Saccharomyces cerevisiae S288C: one gene and its partners. Changing the gene in region 4 together with the main gene of any one other region gives a genetic interaction. Each region holds a gene or a part of one and is shown on either strand. Other genes may lie near its edges.

Region 1 (3,581 bases), on a different chromosome or scaffold from region 4:
CAAATTCGTAAGATGTAGTGTCTCCCTTCTTTATAAGAAATCCACCTTGGCAAACATCCCGATGTGTAATCGTAACGTTATCATCAATAAGTCCATGCTCTTTGAATTCCTCTAATGCTTGTTCGTATCTTATGTGATGAAATTCAAAACTAAAAAGATGACCTACAGATCTTGCAAAAGCGTGCGAAAATGATCCTGAGCCTGTACCTGCCTCGATCACTCTGCTGTGAGGGCTACAATTCAACCTTTGCATGATGTAGGAAGAGTCGGGCGTATATACAATTTGAGTTCTGTGTGGTAACGACAAAGTCCACAATTCAGGAGTTGGTTGCAGAACATGGACGAATGCAAACTTATTTGAGCCCTTTGTTCTTATAGCAATTTGAGAACCATAAGGTTTACCTATGATATCCTTATGAGGAAATGAACCATAACGAGTATTGAATACCTCTTCGGAATGCATCCTTACCGGTTTGATGTTATCTCTAGAAACCCATATTAGAGTTAAATCGCCTTCCTTGATGAGGTCTTTGTAACCGGAAAAACAATTTGTTGACATTTCTAAATCTGCGTAATCTTAGCTACCTGATAGTCCCACCCCGATCTTATTCACATATATTTTCTATATACTTTAAACAGTTTTAAAAGTGATGAGCATGGAAAAAAATTCGTTGCTAACGGCATGGCATAAACAAAAAGCGAAAAAATTTTATAGATAATAATAAAGAAAAAGTATCAATAGCATGAGTGTTAATGTTATAACGAAGTGTAAGAGGAAAAAGAATGCTGCGCAAATACGTTACTTCATAAAAAAACTCAAGTACTGTATATATTTTACATTTAAATATATTAATTTATATACAAATACGGCCTCCTCTCTTGCATTTTTTTTATTGTTCCATCTCCAAAGGCAGTTGATTAAGTGTACGGATAGGTAAAACTGAATGTGGAAATTTTTGAGAGTTTACTCCAGGATATATGTTGGTAGTATTGTGTTTTTCTTTCTTAGTACATGTCAGATTTATGGAAATCGTAAACGATACCATGGCGGGCCATTTTTTTACCTTTGTGGGTTTCCTCTTTAAACCTTTTCTCATCATTTTTTTGCTTGGTCAGCCAAGCCTCCTTAAATGGTATGCGTTCCATGGCCTCAAGGGGTTGATCTTCTTTATCGATGTCTACTTCGCCTAACATGACAACATTTTCACCACGAATCATGAATATGCCGCGGTCTTCTTCAGCGTATTTGTTTTCTTCGCTAAAATATATTCTCTCCACGCAATCTTGAAGTATCAAATTTGCATATTGGTCAAAGGTTCTTAGTACACCGAATAGCATTCTTCCATCACGCAAAAGAACGAAGATTTTACGGTCTACTGAGCTTACAATAGCAGCGGTGGTAGTGAAGTTATACTGGTCGAGATATAAATCGGCCTCACCTTCTGAAATCTTCTTTGGGAAATTCTGCTGTTGTCGCTTCGCATCCTGATTGGACTGATTTCTGTCCTTGCTATTTGCAGACATTTTTGGTGAATTAATTCGATTCGAGGGCTGCTTTCTTTTATAGGTTTTGAAAGCGGAGCAAATGTTGGTATAACTCTACTGCAGCGTTGGCAATCCTGTTGAAAAGGAAAAGAAAATATAACTAAACTGTGTTACTTGTATCTTCACTAATATTTAATCAGCCCTTGGTCATACAGGCTTCCCCTAGATTGAAATACAGGTGCTGAACACCGTTGTATATTCACGACTTCCTCTATTTTTTTCATATTTTCCATTATTCAACGAACGCGGGTAACAAGTCGGCCGAATTTGAACCCACTCCTCTGCGCTTGTAACTTTATACATCATCGTTACGCTATAAATGTTATGTATTAAGTGTATCAAAGACCCATACGGTCAATGACATAATTCTGTGCCATGACCCCAAATGACAAGCTTAATCCATCTTCGATCCATTCCTTTACCCATTCACTAGGATCAATGATCTCATCGTCTTCGTCTTCGTCTTCACTTTCTTTTTGTTTCTTTTGATCGTATGACTTATTCCTCTCCTCACTTGCTGTTGATCCTGTTTTCTCCACGGATCCTTCTAGCCAATTGACCCATTTGACAGGGAATCCTTGTGATCTTGTTATGGTGGTAATATCGTTAGTTATGTCTTTCAATACAAGGGTGAAATTGAAATTGCCTGGCGTATTGGAGTCGGTCACTTGAAAGTCACCGTCGGCATCTTTTTGTTTTTGCGGAATGGCAATTGGTAAGATGGATATGAATAAATCACTGATTTTATTGCTGTTACTGCTAATAGAACTCCTATCGTCATCTGGAGTGGCATCAGCCTCTTTCTGTTGTTTCTGGTATTCCTCATGTGCAGTATTGAAGAGTTTGACTGCATTTTCCAGGTTTGCAAATGCCAGTTTCTCACCGTCTGTTACCTTGCCGTCGAATAGATTAAACTGTAATTTTTTTTTAGAGTTGCCTAACTCACCGTCTGCAACTGAAGGCTTTTTTTCCACAGGTGTAATTCCATTATTGTTAGGATGGCCCCATTCATCTACAAATATTCTGATTCCTCCCTCAACTTGTGAGCTTAGAACTTGATCAAACTTGCTTTCAATATTGTATTGTAATGAGGGATAGTTAACCAAATCATGGACTAGATGAATTCGCAGCACCTCTTCAGTCTCACCAACAACGATTTTCTGTAAGTTTCTGGCTATTTCAGTAATCGTGCTCGTGTTTATCTTTGAAGTCAAATCAAGCTGTTCTTGGGCAAGTCGGTTTTTGATCTGGGATGCTTGTTCTGCAGTTTTATTCCAAATACTCGATACCTTTGCGGATCCAGAGGAGGACCACCAGTTTGAAATAGAAGCAATTGGGTCATGCAATGGGGTCTCCTCCTCCTCCTCTTCTTCTTCTTCTTCTTCCTCCTCTTCTTCTTCTTTCTCCTGCTGCTGTGGTTCCTTTTCCTTTCCGTGAGCGTCCTGCTCGGAATTTTTGTTTTCTTTTGATTCTTCTACTTTTTCGTCTTGTGCTTTATTATTAACTGATTCACTGGGAGCCTTCTTTTCAACCCCTTTCTTGTCAGTTAAGCTTAAGTTACTCTTCTCCAACTCTTCTAAGAATTCAAAGATATCATCGTCACCTTTCTTTCCATCATTCCCGGTCTTGCCCGCCACAGAATTAGAACCTCCCTTAACGCCTTCTTGGCTACCCTTTACGTCAGTATTAACCATTTTCCCGCCATTCTTTGCTTCTGGCAAAGAATCTAAAAATTCAAATACGTCTTCAGCCTCAGAGTTCTTATTTTCAGACATTTTGCCCTGGTAGTATGTATGTTTTTAATCGATTGAGTCTAGTTAACCTGTCCCTTGTTCTATTCTTCACCGTCTCGTCCAACTTCCATCAAAGAACCAGAAACCAGAAAATCGCCGGTTTCTTCCACGCGTCAATCCGTTTGGAATGATCTCATCGCAAAATTTTTTTTCGCTAAAATTTTCATAGAGAGTATCAATATTAATATATGGTTATAACTTATGGCGGCATTAGTCGATGAGGTGCTTGCCGAAGAGACTAGC
Region 2 (4,588 bases), on a different chromosome or scaffold from region 4:
GTCGATAACGCCCAAATCGCCCAAACGTCCATGGAAACCATTTATACGTCCTGACTTTTGCAGTCTCGATAAAGCTGTTAAAACCTTACTTTTATTCTGAGCTTTTGATAAAGAGGATCTAGCTTCCATTGCACGCTGGCGATGCGCGTTCAAAACCTTTTGCATTTCTTTTAACTTTAGATGAGCAGAAGTAAAATTCTTTTCACCTTGCGACCTTTCATCTTTAAGTGAGTTCAGCTTCTTTTTCAGATCGAGGATAAGATCTTGTAGCTCCTGCTTGTGTGTTTTCTTGGCAAGAATTTTTTCTTCTAAAGTTTCAACGTTTTTTTTCAGTTTAGCTTGAGTTTCCTCCAACAAAGATAGTTCGGATTCAGCCAATTGTATCTGTGATTCTTTTTCCTGAAGTTGGAGGTCCCAAGGCTCCAGTTCCTTTTCATGCCGAATAATCTCTGCAGATATATTCTTCGTTTTATCTTTCAAAGATAGTTTAATATCATCAAGTATACTTCGTTCCTTTTCCAGCAATTGAGTCAAGTCTTTGATCTCCGTCTCGTGTTCGGTTTGTTGTCCACGAAGCTCTTCAAGCATATTCTCGGCCTCCGATATTGAATGTTTGGTGGATTTCAAAGTCTTTTCTGCTTTTTCCATTTTACTTACCAAATTTTTTGTTCTCTCTTCTAGAGACACCCTGGTGCCTTCTAATTCTCTTCTTTCTAAAACCAGGGTCTTTTCTTTCGAGCTACAAGATGATATTCGATCTTTTATTTCCTTACGTTGTGCTTTAATCTCATCCACTTTTTTCAAAGATTCTTGAAATTTCATCTTCTCATCTTCGAGGTCTTTATTCGAAGAGGAGATCTTTTCCAAGGTGCTGGCAAGTTTAGAGTTGCTTTGCAACAATTTAAATTGAAATAATTTTGATCTTAAAAGCGTCAGCTGCTTTTCCTTCTCTAAAAACTCTAACGCCGTTTCTTTCCCTGACTCTAAAGAGTTTTTTTCTCTATCAACAATTTCAAATCTATTTTCCTTTTCCAGGCAAACTTCATTTAGATTCTCAATCTGTCCCATTCGCTCTTCAATTAACGGCTTATAGTTTGCAGTTCCAATTATGTCCTCCAGATATTCCAGTAGTCCGTCGTCACTCTCTTTTTCTGCTTTAGGCTTCATTTGAGCAATATTCTCTACTTCACCTTGTAGAATTAAAAATCGTTTATGGTCTAAATCAATACCCTCATTCTTTAAAAGCTTTGTCACCTCTGTGTAGCTACTTTCTTTTTCGTTTATGTAATATTTCGATGAGTTGTTTTTAAAGGCTTTCCTTGTAATGATCAATCCAGGTTTTTCTTCATCGATTCGGGAAGTACCCGAAGATTCATCAATAACGTACTGAAAATGTACAGCTACGGAACATGATTGCAAACTTGGGAAAGCTTCTGATTTATGAATTAAATCCGACAATCTGTCCTGTCTCATCTTGTTCGCTCTAAATCCAAATACAAATAACATGGAATCGATGACATTTGATTTACCTGAACCATTGGGGCCTACCACGGCCGAGAAGCTAGTATGAAAGGGTCCTACTACTTGTTTACCAGCGTAGGACTTGAAGTTCTCTAAGACTAGTTCGTTAATAAATAGTCTGCTCTGTTGCTTGCTCGACGACTGGTGCCTATCATAAATTTTTTGTAGTTCAACCCTGCTATTTTTCACTGGCGAAAGCTGGAGCAATTCTAATCTTCTAGTTGGCGATCTTCCTGGAGACCTTGGTGGTGATTGAGAGTAGGACTTATGGTCGCGACCCCTAGAAGAGGTTTTTGGTGGTTGCAAGTTCGGTACATGTAATGACGTGGTTGTTGAGTTTGTAGGTTGAGAAAAGGCATACCGATTTTCCCCAGAACTTAAAACAAGCTTTCTGGGAGTATAAGATTTGGAATAAGATGCTTCCAACGCAGGAAGATCCGGCTCTGGTGTATTCTCGCTTAGGTTAACTCGGTTTTCTACCTGCGAATCTTCTTCGGCATCACCTTGATCAAGAGATAATTCTGGTTCTTGGGCGGACTTCCGCTTTTGTCTTTTGCTCAATGGACTATCAGACATCAAATATATTCTGTTGGTTGCACGTGGTTAGTGTTTAAGGTGATGCGGCTTCTTATAGGGCCTCTTTTATGGTATGAAATCGATTCCAGTGTGTAGATAATGTAAACCTATATGTATTTTCGTGATTATTGTAAACAGTTTACTTTCCGTCCATAATTACAAATGCATTTCAAAATGGGCCAAGAAGAACAAGAGAATTAATGCAAGACCAAAGGAGAAGAAGCGCAGAATCGTGGACAAGATAATTTAAACTATGGAAACACCACCCATTGTGATTGATAATGGCTCATACGAAATCAAGTTTGGTCCTTCCACGAATAAGAAACCGTTCCGAGCTTTAAATGCATTGGCCAAAGATAAATTTGGGACATCGTATTTATCAAATCATATCAAAAACATCAAAGATATTTCATCTATCACCTTCAGGAGGCCACATGAACTAGGACAGCTCACATTATGGGAATTAGAGAGTTGTATATGGGATTATTGCCTTTTCAATCCTTCAGAGTTTGATGGGTTTGATCTGAAAGAGGGAAAGGGTCATCATTTGGTTGCTAGCGAGAGCTGTATGACTTTACCAGAATTAAGTAAGCATGCCGACCAGGTGATATTTGAAGAATATGAATTCGACAGTCTTTTCAAGTCTCCTGTAGCAGTCTTTGTACCATTTACCAAGTCATATAAGGGTGAAATGAGAACAATTTCAGGTAAGGACGAAGATATCGATATTGTCCGTGGCAACTCAGACAGTACAAATTCCACATCAAGCGAGTCCAAGAATGCGCAGGATTCAGGTAGCGATTATCATGATTTCCAATTAGTTATTGATTCCGGGTTTAATTGTACTTGGATAATTCCTGTCCTGAAGGGAATACCGTACTATAAAGCGGTAAAAAAATTGGACATTGGAGGCCGTTTCCTAACTGGGCTACTAAAGGAAACTCTATCATTCAGACACTACAATATGATGGATGAAACCATACTTGTTAACAATATCAAGGAACAATGCTTGTTCGTTAGCCCGGTGTCTTATTTTGATAGTTTCAAAACGAAGGATAAGCATGCACTAGAATATGTACTTCCTGACTTCCAAACAAGCTTTCTTGGTTACGTAAGAAACCCCAGAAAAGAAAATGTACCGTTACCTGAAGATGCGCAGATCATAACACTGACAGATGAGCTTTTCACAATACCAGAAACTTTTTTCCATCCAGAAATTTCGCAAATTACTAAACCAGGCATTGTGGAGGCCATCCTAGAGAGCCTTTCCATGTTGCCCGAAATAGTGCGACCTCTTATGGTAGGAAACATTGTATGTACAGGAGGAAACTTTAATCTGCCCAATTTCGCCCAACGGCTTGCGGCAGAACTACAAAGGCAATTACCCACAGATTGGACTTGTCATGTTTCGGTGCCCGAAGGTGACTGTGCTCTGTTTGGGTGGGAAGTGATGTCACAGTTTGCAAAGACAGATTCCTACCGAAAAGCGAGGGTCACAAGAGAAGAATACTATGAGCATGGTCCCGATTGGTGTACGAAGCACAGGTTTGGTTACCAGAATTGGATATAATTAACTATAGATTTACATAGCAACAATGAAAATCCGAAAAGTCGAGACCTTCAGGTCATTTTCAATTTGGATTTTGTCATGTTTTTAAGAATCTTCCGCAGGCAATAATACATCTCATATGTTTTACATTTTTATTGACAAATTCCCAAATTAGGCAAAAATTCCTCTTTTTTAGTGGTTAGAAACGCCATTCTTCCCATTTTTTCGCGATACAAAAAAAGAAATATATGGAAATGTGGAAATGTCATCATCAGAAGTCTCGAAGGAAAGTGTGCGCTTTAATCATCCCCATACTAGACTTTGTAGGAGAAGATAATACAATTTTCGTTTTATATTTATACAGTTGATTGACCGGGAAACGAAGAAACGCAAGAGAAAACGATCAAAATACACCTGTTCTTCGTTACGATATAGAAATTAAATGTTTGTTCATCGTCTCTGGACACTCGCATTTCCTTTTCTTGTGGAGATATCGAAGGCATCACAGTTGGAGAATATTAAATCTCTTCTGGACATCGAAGATAATGTGCTACCGAATTTGAATATATCGCAAAATAATAGCAACGCAGTACAAATCCTCGGGGGTGTGGACGCCTTATCTTTTTACGAGTACACAGGCCAACAAAATTTCACTAAAGAAATAGGTCCAGAAACAAGCTCACATGGATTAGTTTATTACTCTAACAACACCTATATCCAGTTGGAAGATGCCTCTGATGATACTCGAATAGACAAAATTACACCATTTGGCGTTGATTCGTTTATTCTTAGCGGATCAGGCACGATAAACAATATCTCTGTCGGAAACCAGATATTATACAATTTGTCGACACTGTCTATGACGCCTATATTCAACCAGTCTTTGGGAGCTGTTCAGGCTGTGCTCGCAGACAATTCTTCTATCTATTTTGGAGGAAACTT
Region 3 (4,151 bases), on a different chromosome or scaffold from region 4:
TAATAAGTTGAAAAAAAAAAACACATCAGCAGAAATGTGTACATACAAAACTTACTCTATCTTCCCTCTGTAGTTTGGAAAAGTATTTAAAGGTAACCAATCTCTCTACTAATCATGCTTTTAACCTCTCTTTTACAGGTTTTTGCCTGCTGTCTAGTTTTACCAGCTCAAGTTACTGCGTTCTATTATTATACTTCTGGTGCTGAACGTAAGTGCTTCCACAAGGAATTGTCTAAAGGTACTTTGTTCCAAGCAACTTACAAGGCACAAATTTACGATGACCAATTACAAAATTACAGAGACGCTGGTGCGCAAGATTTTGGTGTCTTGATTGATATTGAGGAAACTTTTGATGATAACCACCTGGTTGTTCATCAGAAAGGTTCAGCAAGTGGTGATTTAACTTTCCTTGCGTCTGATTCGGGTGAACATAAAATCTGTATTCAGCCCGAAGCTGGTGGCTGGTTGATTAAGGCTAAAACGAAGATTGACGTTGAATTCCAAGTGGGCTCTGATGAAAAGTTAGATTCTAAGGGTAAAGCCACTATTGACATTCTACATGCCAAGGTTAACGTCCTAAACTCCAAGATCGGCGAAATTAGAAGAGAGCAAAAATTGATGAGAGATCGTGAAGCTACCTTTAGAGACGCCTCTGAAGCTGTTAATTCTCGTGCTATGTGGTGGATTGTCATTCAATTAATTGTTCTCGCTGTTACTTGTGGCTGGCAAATGAAACACCTGGGCAAATTTTTTGTTAAGCAAAAAATTTTATGATCAGACTAAAAACCTTTTATGTATCTTCTAGAAATTTATAGTTTATAAGAGCCGCTAAAGGTATTCCTTCTTTTTGAGAAAGTGGAAAAAAAATGACTAAATAATATCATCTTGGAATGGTATTTTACACAAACTTACGTATTGAGTTGGGCTATACGGTAATTATGTCACGGCTAAAATTTTCATTATCAAAAGGTATATAGGGACTTGAAAGCCTCAACTTTATTTTCATCAACCAAGCCATTTCCTAGCTGCTTAGACACCACGGGAACATTGAAATCAAACTCTTCCGCCTTTTCCTCTGAAAAGTCGTTATCAATTGAGGCGCTGATATGTTTACCTTCATTATCGTTTTCTTGTGAAAGATTGGACCGTGATTTCTTTTGAACACTATTAAAAACAAAGCCTTTCGATGAACTTTTTTGAGGAGTAACCGAAAGATCTGGTTGGACGGGAGTAGAATCGCCCTTTGTAAGTTCGGTTTTTGGCTTTCCAACTAACGGCTTCGCCTGTAGGTTGGTAAAATTGAATTCCTTTGATGATGCAGATGGTGCGTTCTCGCTCTTATAAGCATTCTCAGTAGGTTCAACGTTTCTTGAAGTATTAAACGAGAAGTTAAAAGCAGAGGATGGAGGTTTATCTCCACCATCCTTCTTTTCAGGTGAGGTTTCAGCTACGACGACATTTGAGCGTAAGGATGAGGACCTTGCAGGTTTGTATTTAGTAAAAGAATCTTTGCTTGGCGCAGATGGTGAAATTTTGGTGGCGTTCAGTTGTTTCATTGGTTCTTCGCCTTGTTCAGGAACGTTTTGAAATAATGGCTTAACAGTAGTTTCTTCTTCACTGATCTCTTGCCTTGGTGCAGCATTTGGAGAAACTCTCTTATGTTTGCGTATTTGGCTTACATATGAGGAGTATGGATTAGCAAGTTCTGAAGCTGCATTATTCTTCTTACTGTCATTTTCATCTAATAGTGAGACCAATGCCGCAGCTGTATTACTTATTTTCTTACTAGGAGCTGACTTTGAAACACCACTTCTTACCGATTTAGCAGATGCTATACTTTGAGCAGATGTGTTGGCTGTGTATGTATCGGGGATCTTTTTCGCTGCACTATATCTATAAACGGTTGTTTTGTATGGTGAGGGCAGGCTAGAATAATTGAAACTGTATTTTCTTGAACCAATGCTTCCCAAAGTCGTATTCATTGACGCATTTGAAGTATCATATTTTGGGTTGAAGGTCGGCGCATTAGATATGCTGATTGGTGTACTTCCTGACTCCTTCAAGATAAGCGACTGGTCGATATTATTACCTTCGGCTGATTTTTGTTCTCCTTCCGAAGTTATCATGGATTTGCTTGATTTTTGTAACAATGACATCACACCCTCTATTTCAATTTCTGATAAAGGCTCATTACCTTTTTTACTAAAAAAGTTTGCAAGCTTTGCATTGGAGATGTTAGTTTCATGTGTTTCATCATACTCCTCTTCTTTATTCTCAATGTCGTTTCTGGCTTCACCCACTGCAGAAACAACTACGGAACGGTTTACAGTAGAATCTGGGGATATCTCAGAATGGAAATAACCTCCAGGCATACTTGAGATTCTTCTGTTAAAAGACTCATTGCGTGGTTGTTTATTAGCAACATTATTCCTTGGACTCACTCTGGCTGAATCTTTTTGGGTAAAGAAAGTTTTAATTTTAGAGAAAAGGCTTGGTTTATTGTGTGCATTGCTAATAATCTGCTTTCGATAGGGAGCGGAAGGCACAGTAGCGCTAGCCCTCCTCAATGATTTACGATGCATTGGATGTCGATTTTAGGATATCTTGCGGTGCTTATTTGATGTAAAGGTCTGTTATTTGATGTTTAAAAGTACACATTACAATAAGCTTTCACTTGTAAATATATCTTTTATTTTCCGAGAGGAAAAAGTTTCAAAAAAAAAAAAAAAAAAAGAAGAAAAATAACTTTCTCATGTAATAAAAGGTAACTAATGTAGACAAAAAAGTATACATTTAGCTTTTCTTTTTTTGATGATTTTTGAGTTTCATGTTACTAATCAGAACAATTAACGACACCTTCATTATGAAAAAATTAATTAGCTATAAGTCTTCGAAGTAGAACATGATATTTGGCAATCACTCGAATAACTATCTTAATTTACCTGCTGAAATAATTTGAAAAAACACCCGAGGCAGCAGACGAAAGGTGTTTTTGCTAAACAATGATTGATTTCTGGCGCCATTTCTACATTCTGAACAGTTCATCTCATTTCAGTAACAGTACTTCAATGGAATATTTATTAAAGAAAGTGCTTAAAAAAGTATTATAAAACGATACATGGACTGACTCAAGATTGAGCTAATAAGGTCCACCGCCTAGTGCTTAAGAGTTCTGTACCACTATAATAATTTATCTTGATCGTATTATGTGTAAAAAAAAGGCGCTTGAAATGAAAGCTCCGAAAATTAAAATACTTTGACTGCTTCGGAAAACAAAAACATATAAATAAATTTAAAAAATAAACTGTAAAATATTTAAAAACTATTAAAAATATTTTATATTTTTAAAATTATTTATTATTATGTCATGTGACAAGACTTAAATCATTACATAAAAGGTTTTGAAGTTCAATGTCAAAGTCAATATAATAAGCATACTAAGGCACACTTATGCAAATCGAGTTATTGAAGCTGGTAAAATTATAAGATTTTTATTTTTATTTCTTTTATTTCTGCAAATCTGCATTTTCAAATACCGCTTGGTTTTTTGCATCATAAAGGGCGGCGCTTTCAGTCGCGAAAGTGAAATAAACAACCAGTCACACATATAACTTTCTTCTTGCCATAAGAGAGAAGAGGACGTTTGGTTGAAGCCAACTAGCCACAAGAAAAATGGTACTGACGATTTATCCTGACGAACTCGTACAAATAGTGTCTGATAAAATTGCTTCAAATAAGGGAAGTATGTTCATGTCTCATTCTCCTTTTCGGCTCCGTTTAGGTGATAAACGTACTATATTGTGAAAGATTATTTACTAACGACACATTGAAGAAATCACTTTGAATCAGCTGTGGGATATATCTGGTAAATATTTTGATTTGTCTGATAAAAAAGTTAAACAGTTCGTGCTTTCATGCGTGATATTGAAAAAGGACATTGAGGTGTATTGTGATGGTGCTATAACAACTAAAAATGTGACTGATATTATAGGCGACGCTAATCATTCATACTCGGTTGGGATTACTGAGGACAGCCTATGGACATTATTAACGGGATACACAAAAAAGGAGTCAACTATTGGAAATTCTGCATTTGAACTACTTCTCGAAGTTGCCAAATCAGGAGAAAAAGGGATCAATACTATGGATTT
Region 4 (5,282 bases):
CCTGCGCCACTACTTAAGAGCGAATCTTGTGTGGAGGGATGACTAGGTCCAAAGAGGGAGAAAAGGATCTTGCGGAAAAGTCAACAACACTAATCGGTAGCTGAGTCTGTCAGTGCATCCTTACTGGCTTACTATTTTCATTCATGCTGCAAGTAGATTATCCTCTAGTTAAATTAAACGCGGATGAACTACGCCATTAAATCCATCATAAGAAACTAATTACTACTTTTAGGAAATTAGCCAACTAAAAACTGCTGAAACGCCACATTTCACATAAAACCCCACGGAGCAGTAATGGGAGATCTTAAGCTCAGCCCAGTACATATGTCCATCAGCCTTGAATAGCCACGGTGAGTTCTCGAAGCTTCCTTCCACCTAGTCCAGAATATTTCTTGGTAAATGGCTCGAAGTTTTCGTATTAAACGATGCTATCAGCGGCATCGTGAAATATTGAAATATAAAAAGTATTTACGCAACCGAAAAGGATATTAAGACAAACCCATACAATAGCCCATAAACCAAGCAAATACACATCTCATGTCAGCTCAAGATTATTACGGAAACTCTGCCTCCAAACAAAGCGTACGTTAATTTTACAAGTTTTGCCTTTAGAAGATCACATCGTACTAACGAGCCCTTGTATTTTCATTACATCACTTTCGATTCAGTATTCTCGTCCTAGCGCTCCACCACCAGGATATGAAACGGCGTCTAGAGGTTACGCTCCATCGCAAAGCCAACAGAACTATTATCCACCTCAACAGCAGCAGCAGCAGTATCAGCAACAACCTCAATACTATCAGCAACAGCAGCCCCAATATTACCAACAACACCCACAGCAGCCCATTTATGTCCAACAACAACCGGCCAGTTCTGGAAATGAAGACTGTCTAGCGGGCTGTCTAGCGGGTTTATGTTTATGCTGTACTTTGGATATGCTGTTTTAGAGTATCTCCATATCTTGTGGGAGCAAACCCTTTCACACAAATCCACTATATAAAACAAAGCACAATTGCACCTCTGATCTTTTAATCTTAATTAAATAAGCGTGATTAAAGTGTTCATGCAAGTAGATAATATATAATGATGATAAGTTCGAAAATGCCCTTATAAAAATTAAACCGCGTGCTAGAAGTAAACCTCCTTCAACCTGCCTCTTGAACGAATAAGCTTCTTACAAGAATCTGCGGGACATAATTTGGGGCCATAATTATCCGGATGAGCCGAACCCTTTAGTTGAGCTAGTTTCTTTTTGGGCATCTTAGATTTTTTTTTTGCATTGTCAATCCTGGCGAAACACCTACCACAAAATGCATGACCACACGATGCAATAAACGTTCGTTTTGATAAATCTCTATCAAGCATTGATGGTCTGGCTAGGGTTTGGTAGGGGCAGTGGAATTTGTATTTTGACACTAACCCTTCAAATGAAACACCACGATCCTTTTGACTGATTCCAGTAAAATCATCCGGTATTCCGACCCCCAATTCTGCGCCACACAAGCAACAAACAGGAATATCCTCGAGTGTTTTTGCTAAATCGTCATCTGTCACAATGATGGTTTCTTCTTTACCATTTTTCGTAATGTCTAATTTCATTTTTGGCGTAGTATCAAATGACGCGCTATAACCTTCGGGTAGGCTGGCTGCCCTAGCTTCGAATTCTTCCTGTTGGGCTCTGGTTTTGTTCATTAGATTCTTCATGACCACATCCCGCTCTCGTTCTTCTCTCTCTTGGATCATATCAATGATATTTTGAGTGTGTCGTTCCTCGTCAGCATCGCTCAATGCTGGGCCACTCCACAAACGACTTAAGAACCCATCCTCTCCATTGAAATTAAGATAGTTTGTGATTGATTCACGTAATGTGCCACGATGGAAAACTCTTCCTGCCGTTCTTTCTTGTCTTTCCAATGCTTCTCGGTGAAGTCTCAAGGCCTCTTCCTGAGTATTTCTGACCCTATCAATGGCCCAATTCTGCAGCAGTTGATTTCTGAACTCAGTGAAGAGTGCCATTAGTTCTTCTTCACATTCTTGCAAAGTAATTGGAGCAACATTTTGTAAAATAGACCTGAATTCATGCAGTGACTCTGCACGATGAAAAGCACTACGAATATCAGGCGTATATGATTGTATTCGTTCCCTGATTGATTGTAACCTAATAGATGTACTTATATTTTCGTCACTGGACACCCTTTGCTGTTGTACCCTACGTTGTCTTTCTGCAATCCGTCTGCTCATTCGCATACGGCTCTCCCTACGAGCCCTTTGAATAGCTTCTGGTAAATTATGGGTATCATCTGTCCAATCTTCATCGTTTTCATCAGACCGGTCCACAAATAAATTACGGGCTCTTGTAGCACTCCTTCTCAGTAACTGCCTGCGTGATGCGCCTAGATCTTCTTGGAATTCAAATGACCTTCTTATCGGTATGTCTGTTGTCGTCGCAGTTACCTCAAGCCTCTCCCCGCCTGGCAGGTTCAGTGTCACTCTGGGTCGTGTTGTTCTCTCTTCAACTATTGTCAGGCCATCATCACTTTCATTGTTATTACCATTATCATTCAAGTACCCGTTTGTGTTATCTACTTGTATTGTTCTTGGAGTTTCTAACGTTTCAGAACCTGGCTCCTGATCAAGATCGACGTAATGTGCAGAAGGATCAATAGGTCCATCGTCTCCAAAAAACCGTCCAACTTCTCGTATTATAGTGATATCGTCGTTATTAGCTTGAAAATCAGGGCGCTCAGAGCTTGCTGTTATGTGAGTCCGTTGAGAATTCCTGCTCCTTGAATCTGACCTCACAAACCTATTTAAAGCATCACGTCGTCTCCCTACCCGTCTGTCTGGGTACAACCTCACAGGAAGGTTAGCCTCGCGAATAGAAGCGTCTTCTTCCTTATCACTATCTATTAATATAACTGTCTCATTTGGATTATTGTCTGATGGGCTATTATTGCTCTTTGTTCGACCGTTAGTATCGCTATGCATTCTATTATTTCGACTATTAGAGGAGCTCCGCGTTCCAAATAATAATTTTTGGACTGAAATCTTTTCAAAAGTTCACTCCTAGACTGAAGCTCCTAGTGCAAATTTCGACTTGGTTATTACCAATCAACGCAACACACGCTCTTCTTAATGATTAAGTCTTCGTTTTGGTCGCACACTGCCTCTCATCCATGTTAAATAGTAAATATTGCGACCTTGCGTATACAGTGATGTTTCTTATGGGCAAAGCCAAAAAAAAAAAAATACGTAAGAGTGACAGATGAAGAAGTGACACTTTGAACAAAAGACTCTATCAAAATTTTTTCAGATTCAATCCAAGGATAAAGAGAAATCTATGATGTAGTGTTACAAGAATTAATGATATATGGTCATCAAACAGTGTCGAGACTGGAGAACAGCTTATCGATATTGTTCCTACCTTTAAAAAACTCGAAATATGATTATGATTTCTACTTGCTTGCTCTTAACAATTAATGACCAAAAAGTCACCACATATACTCTTTTTTTTTTATATGGCGAATACGTACAATACTTTTGTTCTCTAAAAGAATTTAGTAATATCTATTTTACAAAGTCGAGGGTTACAAAAACTTCAAATAGGAAGTGAAACTGAATGGGGGAAATATATATAAACGAAACAATTATTCTGCTAATAATTGAGCAAGCTACCAGAAACTTTTGACTAATTTCCTTTATTCAACTTATTTCTTCAAACCGCTTCTCATGTATCTACCAACGACGATACAATGGTCTCTTTCATATGGCTCTAAAGTCAATTGTTCTAATGGCTTAATACGTTCCTCACGTAACTTTTGAACTTCTCTAGCAAAAACGGTTTCCGCGTCTACAGTAGAATCAATACAGTTAGCCTTAATGGAGATAACAACACCACCTTGGTCCTTCAAGAACATATGAGAGTTCAATGCAATAATACGAGCTTGATCAGGCTGGGCAACATCTGCGAAGACACAGTCAACCATACCAATCAACATTCTGTATTTTTGTGGGTGTCTAGCATCTTCAATGATTGGGATGATATTAGGTCTCTTCTTTGCCATAGAAATCAATTCTCTGCCTGGTCTGTGAGAAAATTCTACGGCGTAGACAACACCTTCTGGACCAACAACATCTGAAACGTGAGAAACAGAAGTACCGGAAGCAGCACCTAAATATAAAACTTTCTTGCCTGGGGCAATAAATAATTCATCTAGACCACCCATAATACCGGCAGCCAACTTAGATCTGAATGGGTTCCATACACGGTATTCGACCTTGGTTGGTGGGACACCATCTTCCTTAGATGGTTCTTCAACGGAGATTCTCTTTTCACCATAAACTGATTCACCTGGGGCCATGTTCTTGGTAACTAGCAAATCTTCTTTACCTCTAGCAATGTAAACACCGGCATGTCTATGTGGTTCAATAACGACCTTGGCACCACCACGGGCACCACCAGCAGCGCCACCTCTACCACCTCTGGAGCCACCACGGGCACCACCACGAGAACCGCCTCTACCACCGAAGCCGCCTCTGGAACCACCACGGGCACCACCACGAGAACCGCCTCTACCACCGAAGCCACCTCTGGAACCACCGCGAGCACCACCACGGGAACCGCCTCTACCACCGAAGCCACCTCTGGAACCTCCACGGGAACCACCTCTGCTACCTGGTCTGAATGACATTACTGTTTTAGTTGATTTGAGTTAATTTGATCGGAGTTATTGAAAGCAATGGGCAACTTAGATTTATCCGATGAATGATATCTAATTGTTTCTCGAAGAATAACTTATATAACAGTAGTATACCGATGTAAGGAAAACTTCTTGGCTATGTAAAACTTTTTGAAAGTTAGAGGAAGAAAGTATTATACATTCAAGAGAGATGAGCTTTCCAATTTGAAAAATTTTTCAAGAAAAAGAAAAAATTTGAAAAAAAAAAAAGAAAAATATAATAAACATATCATTTTGTACGCAAAAAGTTAAGGAATTATGAAAAGGGACTAAGAGCGTGAATTTTACAGAACGGAGGACAGTAAGATTATATTCTATTTAGCTATCTAGAAACCAATTGAGCTATTTGAGAGAGATACATATTTTGAATTTAATTTGAAAATGCCTATCACCATAAAAAGCCGCTCTAAAGGGTTAAGGGACACTGAAATTGACTTATCCAAAAAGCCTACTTTAGATGATGTTTTGAAAAAAATCTCTGCTAATAACCACAATATCAGCAAGTACAGGATAAGATTAACCTACAAAAAGGAATCTAAACAA

What was found.
Region 1: mutations in SLX5 (region 4) and LSM1 together harm fitness more than expected from each alone (negative genetic interaction), as found in Saccharomyces cerevisiae (6 studies listed by BioGRID, with this or other methods).
Region 2: mutations in SLX5 (region 4) and ARP6 together harm fitness more than expected from each alone (negative genetic interaction), as found in Saccharomyces cerevisiae (5 studies listed by BioGRID, with this or other methods).
Region 3: mutations in SLX5 (region 4) and NUP60 together harm fitness more than expected from each alone (negative genetic interaction), as found in Saccharomyces cerevisiae (6 studies listed by BioGRID, with this or other methods).

Annotation. Positions count from the first base shown.
Region 1 is NC_001142.9:186,121-189,701, forward strand, and holds LSM1 (Lsm1p), read right to left. Parts: upstream 1,525-3,581; coding exon 1,006-1,524; downstream 1-1,005. Other genes in the region: tRNA 1-methyladenosine methyltransferase subunit GCD14, read right to left, coding at 1-559; DUF5427 domain-containing protein MTC1, read right to left, coding at 1,884-3,320. UniProt on the Saccharomyces cerevisiae protein: Component of the cytoplasmic LSM1-LSM7 complex which is involved in mRNA degradation by activating the decapping step.
Region 2 is NC_001144.5:299,752-304,339, reverse strand, and holds ARP6 (Arp6p), read left to right. Parts: upstream 1-2,350; coding exon 2,351-3,667; downstream 3,668-4,588. Other genes in the region: condensin subunit SMC4, read right to left, coding at 1-2,097; RAX2 (Rax2p), read left to right, coding at 4,089-4,588. UniProt on the Saccharomyces cerevisiae protein: Component of the SWR1 complex which mediates the ATP-dependent exchange of histone H2A for the H2A variant HZT1 leading to transcriptional regulation of selected genes by chromatin remodeling. Involved in chromosome stability.
Region 3 is NC_001133.9:150,688-154,838, reverse strand, and holds NUP60 (FG-nucleoporin NUP60), read right to left. Parts: upstream 2,583-4,151; coding exon 963-2,582; downstream 1-962. Other genes in the region: ERP1 (Erp1p), read left to right, coding at 115-774; transcription factor TFIIIC subunit TFC3, read left to right, coding at 3,673-3,742, 3,833-4,151. UniProt on the Saccharomyces cerevisiae protein: Functions as a component of the nuclear pore complex (NPC).
Region 4 is NC_001136.10:426,773-432,054, reverse strand, and holds SLX5 (SUMO-targeted ubiquitin ligase complex subunit SLX5), read right to left. Parts: upstream 2,989-5,282; coding exon 1,129-2,988; downstream 1-1,128. Other genes in the region: YDL012C (uncharacterized protein), read left to right, coding at 538-582, 669-947; rRNA methyltransferase NOP1, read right to left, coding at 3,708-4,691; trans-2-enoyl-CoA reductase (NADPH) TSC13, read left to right, coding at 5,121-5,282. UniProt on the Saccharomyces cerevisiae protein: Component of the SUMO-targeted ubiquitin ligase (STUbL) complex SLX5/SLX8 that mediates ubiquitination and subsequent desumoylation of sumoylated proteins and proteins containing SUMO-like domains for their degradation.